Macaca mulatta: one gene and its partner. The protein of the gene in region 2 binds, or shares a complex with, the protein of the main gene of each other region. Links are inferred from orthologs where the notes say so. Each region holds a gene or a part of one and is shown on either strand. Other genes may lie near its edges.

Region 1 (3,815 bases), on a different chromosome or scaffold from region 2:
AGCTTGCAATTAAGACCTAGATCACAGTATTTAAATGTTTTGTGTTTTATACATGAGGTCAGTGCGACAGCCACCTAGCATGAACTAACCCAGCTTCCACCTCCATAAAGTTACCTAGAGTTGTTGAGTTGGAGTATGTTCTGGCATTTACCTGACCTGCCAATCATTAGGGAGAGGCAACAAGGTAACTCAGCCTTTCCTCCTCCTATCAGCACAAAGAAACTCAAAGCTGTATTTTCCCTTTCTGTTCCAAAGCAGTCTTATCCTGACAGGAGCGGTCTATACTAGTGCAGATTTCAACACGTTTTTTTTTAATGTTTTAATTACTATAGTGTTATGTAGAGATTTGATTCAGCAGCTAATGTTTCTGAACTTTACTTATTAATTTTCAGTGTCCTTAAGGGTTTTGTGGTGTTATCAAAGCAAAAAGAAAATGCTGCATAAAAATACCAAACTTCAGCAACTGTTAATGCTCAGATCATATACCTCTTAATAAATAGCATCTTATGCTAATTAGCCCTGCTAAACTATGTACAGAGGAAATTGTTCAAGTATTGGATTTGAAAGTAAGTGACTTATGTTTAACAGAACTAATGATGTATTGAAACACTGTATTATGAAAAGCTAAATTATATACATCATTGTAACTATGTAGAAAATGTAGACTAATGTATAATCAAAATGCTAAGGATTTTTATATGGCCTTGTATGAGGGGAGTTTGAATGTTAATAAACATGTTTTCCACTTTAAGATCCAGTAAATGTCTGTTCTACCATTTACTTACCATATTAGTCTTATTTATATATATCCTATAAAGGGATAATGATTGAGGTCAGAGAAATCACATCACCCTAGAATTTTATACAAAGTAACTGACCATTCACATGCAGTTAGGTAATCTCCCAAAAGTTTAGACTGCTGCCAAAATTATTCCAAAAATAAACAGTGTACATTTTGGTACCCTGTTGTAAATTATGGTATATCGAGGGAAAATTTCACTTTCCGAATTGCCTTTTAAAAAATGTTCATAATCAGGAAAAAATAGGTATTTCTACTTTGGAAAATAAACGGTTGAATTCAACATCCGCTATCTGATACCTCATCCCTCTTCCCCTTTTTTATAAAAAATTAAAGAACCACAGGCCTGAGAAACAGGACATCAAAGGTTACCACGGTAGTTAAGCAAAGTTTGGAACTGGACATAATTGTATGGTCCTAACCGTTTTAAACCTGGTCATTTGCATAATTTTCATTTAACCTAAGTGAGGGTGTGAGGACAAAACGTTGGGCTCAGTATCTGGTGCATAGATGTGCAATAAGTAATAGTCTTCAAAATAATTATTAAATAAAAACATCAAACCTAAAATAGTATTTTAAAATAGGAAAAGGGAAAAAAATAAAAAGTCACAGTAATGGGTAAGTATGTATTAGATGTTATATTCCCTTAGTCTTTAATCCAAAGTTTAGAACAAGGACCTAGTTCCTTTATGTTAGGAGTTTTTATGGAAAAAAAAAATTTTTTTTTTGAAATTCCAAATTACTTTAATTTTATGTAAAAAAAAAAAATCTACGAAGTGTCTTATTTAGCAGCACTGGCTAGGACTGTTACTAGGTTCTGTTAATGTTCACTTGAAATGTTCTGTAATTTCATGGTATAGCTTTTTGAATAGGACAGTAGGTGCAATTAAAATCCAATTTCTATTTAAAAATTTAAAATTTTCTTGATTACAAAAGTAACATTAAAACACTAGAAATCAAAATATAGTCACCTGGAAACTATACTGCCTTCAGAAATACATATGTAAAATACATGTATATTAATACTGTATGTATGTGCACTGTCATGTAACATGTTTATATTCTCATTAACATTCATTGGTAAGCATTCTCATGTCATTCTTCAATGACTATTTTGTCCTATGGACTTAAAATCATTTATTCAAACCATACCCCTTAAAAAGCTGAACCTTGTAGATGTTTTCCAAGTTTGGATGGCTTAAGTAATGCAGTGTGATGGACATTCTGGTATACAAATTTGTATAGCTTCATTTCCATATGCGAAATTCCTAGAACTAAGTACAAAGCAAAGTATAGCTGTATATATTTCCCTAAGTATTTTTCTAATGAAATTGTGGGTGGAGGGCCAATGAATAGTTTCATTATATACTATTTTAGTGATACAGTCACCCTTTACCACCTTCTACCCCCAACCTCCTCTCTGAACACACACACATACACACTGCCCCCTCACCTACTTACAGATTAACAGTTTCAGAATTTTGGTCACTGCTTTCTATAATTGGTTACCCTAATAGTTCTTTACAAGTGAAGTGTGAATGTGTATTATTGTAAAATCTCAAATCATCACAACTCAACCACCAAATTTTCATTTGCCCAATCTTTTGGCCTTAACAGGTCAAGAAACTGATACCAGGTTTTTATTATAGTTTTACAATTTCTAGGTTATGTCCAACTACCAAAATAGCCCCAGATCCTTTATCTTCCATACTTTTACATCCCTGTGTATGTACAGCCATATTCACAACCAATGCCTGACAACCAAAGAAAACTTTCACATGCATAGTATAAGCAGATTAATTCCTATTCCCTAACCCATCGTTTCTCAAAAGGTAGCATAAACACCACTTAAAATGAATCAGACTGACCCAGTGATTGTTTCTGAAAAGGGATTCCTGGGCTTATGGACTCTCCATCTCCAGGATGGAACCCCAGAGTCCATAATCTGCCTTCTAACCAGCTCCCCAGTTTTACTGAAACCCACTAACTTTTGAGCACCCCTGGCTCTAAGCATCTGCTTGAGTTGTTGGTAATAATGATTTATCCAAATAGCCCTAAATTTACATATTTACCAAACTTCAATACATATCAGGGATTTTATGGCCTCTGGGATTAAATCTATTACATAGCCATGGTCAACATGTCACTACAAAGCCAAAAAGTGCAAAAGCATCCCAATTACCTTATATGCTGCCTAAGGAATGTCTTCTGCTCTTATGTAGGAGGGCCCCAGTTGGCTGACTTCAGTCTGCCAACACAGCCTCCAAATCTAAAGTCATACGACATTTCAACACAGAAAAATCCACGATAGTGCAGAAACTCTTCTTGGTACTCCCTTTGCTGTTTATTAGATTTCACATCTAGAAACCAGCAAGAAAAGGAAAATACTCATTTTCTAGCAGATGTCAGTTGCTTCTCACATACGCCTGAAGATGAGCCTGAAATGACTCAAAACTATATGTAACAGATCAAAGCCCATTAAAAAGAAATTCCCAGGCACTAATTTTATCTGTAATATTACTTGAAGTAGGCCATCACCTGAATGTTAAAGTTTTATGCTTGCGGCCGGGCGCAGTGGCTCATGCCTGTAATCCCAGCCCTTTGGGAGGCTGAGGCGGGCAGATCACGAGGTCAGGATTCGAGACCATCCTGGCTAACATGGTGAAACCCCGTCTCTACTAAAAATACAAAAAATTAGCCAGCGTGGCGGTGTGGCCTCTAGTCCCAGCTACTCGGGAGGTTGAGGCAGGAGAATGGCATGAACCCGGGAGACGGAGCTTGCAGTGAGCCGAAATTGTGCCACTGCATTCCAGCCTGGGCAACAGAGTGAGACTCCGTCTCAAAAAAAAAAAAAAAAAAAAAAATTTTATGCTTGCAGCAGACTTTGGCCTATTCTGTGTATTCCCCACTTGTCAAAAATCAGCTTTTAACAGTAAGCCAACAATTTATATAAACAACAGGAGCCTAGAGTATTTGGTTGGAATAAATTTATTTCATCTGTCTGTAAACAAGGTGT
Region 2 (3,915 bases):
CCCACATAAAATAGATGCTTGATCAAATGGTCTCTTATTTAAAAAAAAATAAAAATAGCTATTATTGGAAGAAAGAAATAGACCCCAATTCTCCCCAAGTCCCTTCTGCCCTGAGATTCTAGACCTCTGCCTCGCTTCTCTGTCTTCCCAGCACCCCAGCTCCAGTCCGGGACACAGCCGACACTCAACAAATATTTGTCAAATTGGGAGAAAAAGAACTATATCTTGTAATTTTCCATCTTAACATCCTCTCTTCCAACTGCCCCCAGGACTGTCCCCCAGCCAAACCAGCCAGAAATCAGAGGATCCTAGGTTCCTCCACCCCTCCAACATTGCCTAGGAATTTCTGAGGGATCTTGGCCATGTCTTTTTCTCTTTGAGCCTCAGTTTCCCCAGCTGGGTAATAGGGGCATGGGTTTTGAATCCTGGCTGTCCTTGGAGAAGAGGCACAGCCCAGTAAGTCGGGTGTGACCACCTGCAGGGGAGACCCCTGGAAAGGTGGGAGTGGCCTTCTGGTGGGACAGGCATCTGGTCACTTCTGCACTGCACCCCACCCCAGCACCCCCACAAGGTGGGATGCTTGATCACCGCCCCAGCAAGAGGTGGGCCCTGTGGGAGGGCCAGGGCTTCCAGGGCTGCTGGTGGTGGTGGTGGTGGTGGTGGGGAGGGCAGGGGGCCGGCCCAGACACCACTCCTGCCCTTTTACGGTTGCAGTGAGTGAGGCAGCACTAACTCGGACATCCGCCATCCGCCTTCCACTGAGCCTGGGACCGGAAACGCGAGGGGGGTGGAGGGGCGGGGCTGGGGGGCAAGGGGAGAGAAGAGTCCCGGAGGAAGAGGGCGAAGGAAGAGAGCGACGCTCCCTAAACTGACCCCTCTCCAGGGCGGACTTGGAAGGGATGTTGCTATAATGGGGAGCGGATAGGATAGGCAGGAAGTCTTGAGGGTATCTGTGGGTGTCCTCCTTGCTCCAAATTTTCCAGCCATGCCTTTCACATCAGAAGGAACAAACGCGGGAGGGGAATTCTCTAGTGGTCATAAAAAGGAACGCCACTCCACTCCGATGTCAAAGGGCAGGGGTTCAGGAAATGCAGGGGATGTGGGCACCACGGGGTTAATCCCCAGCCGTCCCCAGGGGCCTCCCTGCTAAGGCTGGGGGCTTTGGGGCAGGAAGTCCCAGAGAGAGTGGAGGAAGGGAGATAGTATTGTCAGGCTCTGGCCCCATGGGAGAGATTATGGGGGGCCAGGGGAGGGGAGAATGGGAGGATGGTTGGGTCCCCCTGCCCACACTGGCCCCGCCCTCAGGTGAGTCCAGGAGTTCGGGGGAGGCCCCGGCCAGACCAAATCCCTGGGTCCCTTGGGCCGCCGCCCCCAGGATTAAATTCCTGGGAAGATAGCTGGAATTATCTGGGAAGCCTGGGTCCCTAGGGAAGAGGGCTATGACCTTGAAGCTTTCCAGCTCCCCTTCCTCCAACCCCAAGGCTCCGGATGGATGGGGGGGGCGGCGAGCAAAGGGGGAGGCGCCGTGGTGGGGAAGGCAGCCGGCCCACAGCGCTCGGTGCCCGCCCCCCACACCAGCTGTCTCGACAGGTGAGTCAGGAAGACAAAGGCCCCCTTCCCCCAGCTGCTGCGTCCCCTCCCTCCCCAGGGCCGCGCAGGTGGGGGAGCCGGGCCGCCCTTATGGCCCGGGGCAGGGAGCCGCCCTCTGCTCCGAGCGCCCGCTCTGTCCTAGGCACTGCCTGTTAAGCAGATTGCGTGCGGAGCGACGGGGGAGGGGAATCCCACCAGACTCCGGAGGCTGCGTCCGGGTCCCTGGATCGGTTCATACCAGCCTCTTCCACAGGAAGACCTAAGTGCCCCCCAAAATTTAGGGGATTAAGAAGTACCCCCGAAGTTCAGGAGCGCGGTCTCACTTGGGGAGACTTTTTCCAGCACCACGTAAACGGGGTCCCTGCACACCAAGGGTCTGAGTCTCAGTCTCTCTTCCAAGTCCCAGGGTCTCCCAAACCAGTCCCCCACAATCCTTCCCCGACCTCGAGCTGAAGTTTGGGGGGAGGGGGAGGAAAGTCTGAGCCCTGCCTCAATCCTGGCATCCCTGCGGGGAGTCGCTGCCAACTTTGAGGTCCTCTGAAAAAAAGTCTTAACAATTCGGGAGTCCTCCGAGCGTCCCCAAATCTTGAGGGCTCCCAGGGGAACCTCACCGCCACCACCCCCCGAGCTTGGGAAGTCAGTCGTGGAGAAGTGATCGACGGTTTTGGGGCTTGTCCTAGGGGATTCAGCCCAAATCCGAGGCTCCCAAGGATCTGTCCCCAAATTCCAGCCCGGAGCGAGCTTGGGGGGAGGGGGACAAAGGCGGGGCGCGGAGCCCGCCCGGGCGGGGACGGGTCGGGGGGCAGGTCCGGCTCACCTCATGGCTGATCTGCGGGCGGGCGGCGCGCCCACGGACTGGCTGCTCCCGGGGCGCCCCTGGCTGGAGGTTCAGGGGTTCGGGGCTGGCTCCGGGCTCGACTCAGGCTCCCCCAGGGTCCCGCCCCATAGAGTCCGGCTTCCTGGGTAGAACGTGGACCGGGCCGGGGCGGGTCTCCGGGCGCCGCTTCCCTCAGGCGATCTGATGAGAGGTCCCTGCGGCAGAAAGGGGATGCGGCGTCTGCTCCCCGACGCGCCCCCCTTGCCGGCGGCGGCTACACTGTTACTCTTACTACTGTACTTCTCTTCGTTACATTTCGTTCCAAAATTCCACTCCCCGCACCCACAATGCCCCGCGCCTTAAAGGGGCCGCGCGCGCCTCCAGGCGAGGGGGTGGAGGGCGCTTAAAAGGGCAACTCGGCACCCTCTGCTTCCGCGATCTTGCTGCTCTCCCCAACGTTATCGTCCAGGGGTGCACCCTGGGAGTCACCACCACATGGAGGGGCAAGCTTGGTGAAGGGGAAGGCGACCTCCCTTGCTCCCTAGTTCGCTTCCACTGTGGGAATTCTCAGGAGCGTCTCGGAAGGGGCACGATTTCTTTCCCCATCGACTTCTCCATCTCGTACTCCGCTCAATTTTGGGGGTCGAAGAGGACCCTCCAGTTAGTTAAGCAAGTGGTCTCAGATTTTCTCCCTGAAATTCCATCTTCGGAACCCCGCCCCTCCCCAGCGTCTCTCTTCTGTCAATTTCGGAGGGGTTACTAAGGGGGCGAGCCCCCCACCCGCGCGGGAGGGGAGGTGGGGGGGAGTAGGGCCCCACCCCTCTCACCCCACCCCGCCCGCCCCGGGAAGGTGAGGAGGAAGTGGGCCAAGGGGGCGCGGTCGGCCGCTGACTCACAGCCGCAGGGTCGGGGGTGGGGTGGGGGTGGAGGTGGGGACTGGCGAGGAGTGCCGGAGTTGGGGGCCTGGCATTCGCCCGAGGTGGGCAGGAGGCGCCGGCTTCTTGGGTATGTAAAGCCTCCGACCCACGTACGCCCCGCTCTGACTCAGTTTCGCCTGCGGAGGACAGCAGGATCATCCCAGCCCTCAGGAGGGCCCGGAGGTGAGGAGACCCTCCCCGGAGCCCCCGCCCCCACACGCCGGCTCCAGGCTGAGCCCAGACACCCTCCGAGGCTTCCGCAGCGTGTCTTGCCGGCCACGCCCCGAGTGACGTCACTGATGTGGTCGCGCCCCTTGGGTAGAGCGCCACCTGGCCCGGGTGAGGGCCCGGGTGAGGCCCTGGGAAATCAGTTTCACGTTTACACATGGGTAAACTGAGGCCTGGAGACAGGGAATGAATCTGGCCTATGACCCTCTTGCCTGAGCCCCCAGAACCCGGAAAGCCACCAAGATCTGAGTGTAAAACCAACAATTCTCAGGGCCAGCTGACTAGGTGAGAGAATCCACTTTTCCAGCGTATTTCCAAGCCGAGTCCCATGTCCGGATGTTTTCCTGACCTCCTTTACCTGGA

The links.
Region 1: the proteins of VASP (region 2) and PFN2 are in contact, whole or in part, in a crystal structure (PDB 2V8C), measured with the Mus musculus proteins. The link is inferred for Macaca mulatta from reciprocal best matches to the Homo sapiens genes VASP and PFN2. Residues at the interface, in NP_033525.2 of Mus musculus: Gly165, Pro166, Pro167, Pro168, Pro169, Pro170, Gly171, Pro172, Pro173, Pro174, Pro175, Pro176; in NP_062283.1 of Mus musculus: Gly3, Trp4, Ser6, Tyr7, Asn10, Cys13, Tyr30, Trp32, Met131, Tyr134, Ser138, Phe140.

Annotation. Positions count from the first base shown.
Region 1 is NC_133407.1:52,984,557-52,988,371, forward strand, and holds part of PFN2 (profilin-2), read right to left. Parts: exon of another isoform or gene 3,772-3,815; intron 3,160-3,771; coding exon 3,014-3,159; 3' UTR 2,982-3,013; intron 758-2,981; exon of another isoform or gene 1-757. UniProt on the Homo sapiens protein: Binds to actin and affects the structure of the cytoskeleton. At high concentrations, profilin prevents the polymerization of actin, whereas it enhances it at low concentrations. By binding to PIP2, it inhibits the formation of IP3 and DG.
Region 2 is NC_133424.1:58,036,802-58,040,716, reverse strand, and holds the start of VASP (vasodilator-stimulated phosphoprotein), read right to left. Parts: upstream 2,706-3,915; 5' UTR 2,413-2,705; coding exon 2,408-2,412; intron 1-2,407. UniProt on the Homo sapiens protein: Ena/VASP proteins are actin-associated proteins involved in a range of processes dependent on cytoskeleton remodeling and cell polarity such as axon guidance, lamellipodial and filopodial dynamics, platelet activation and cell migration.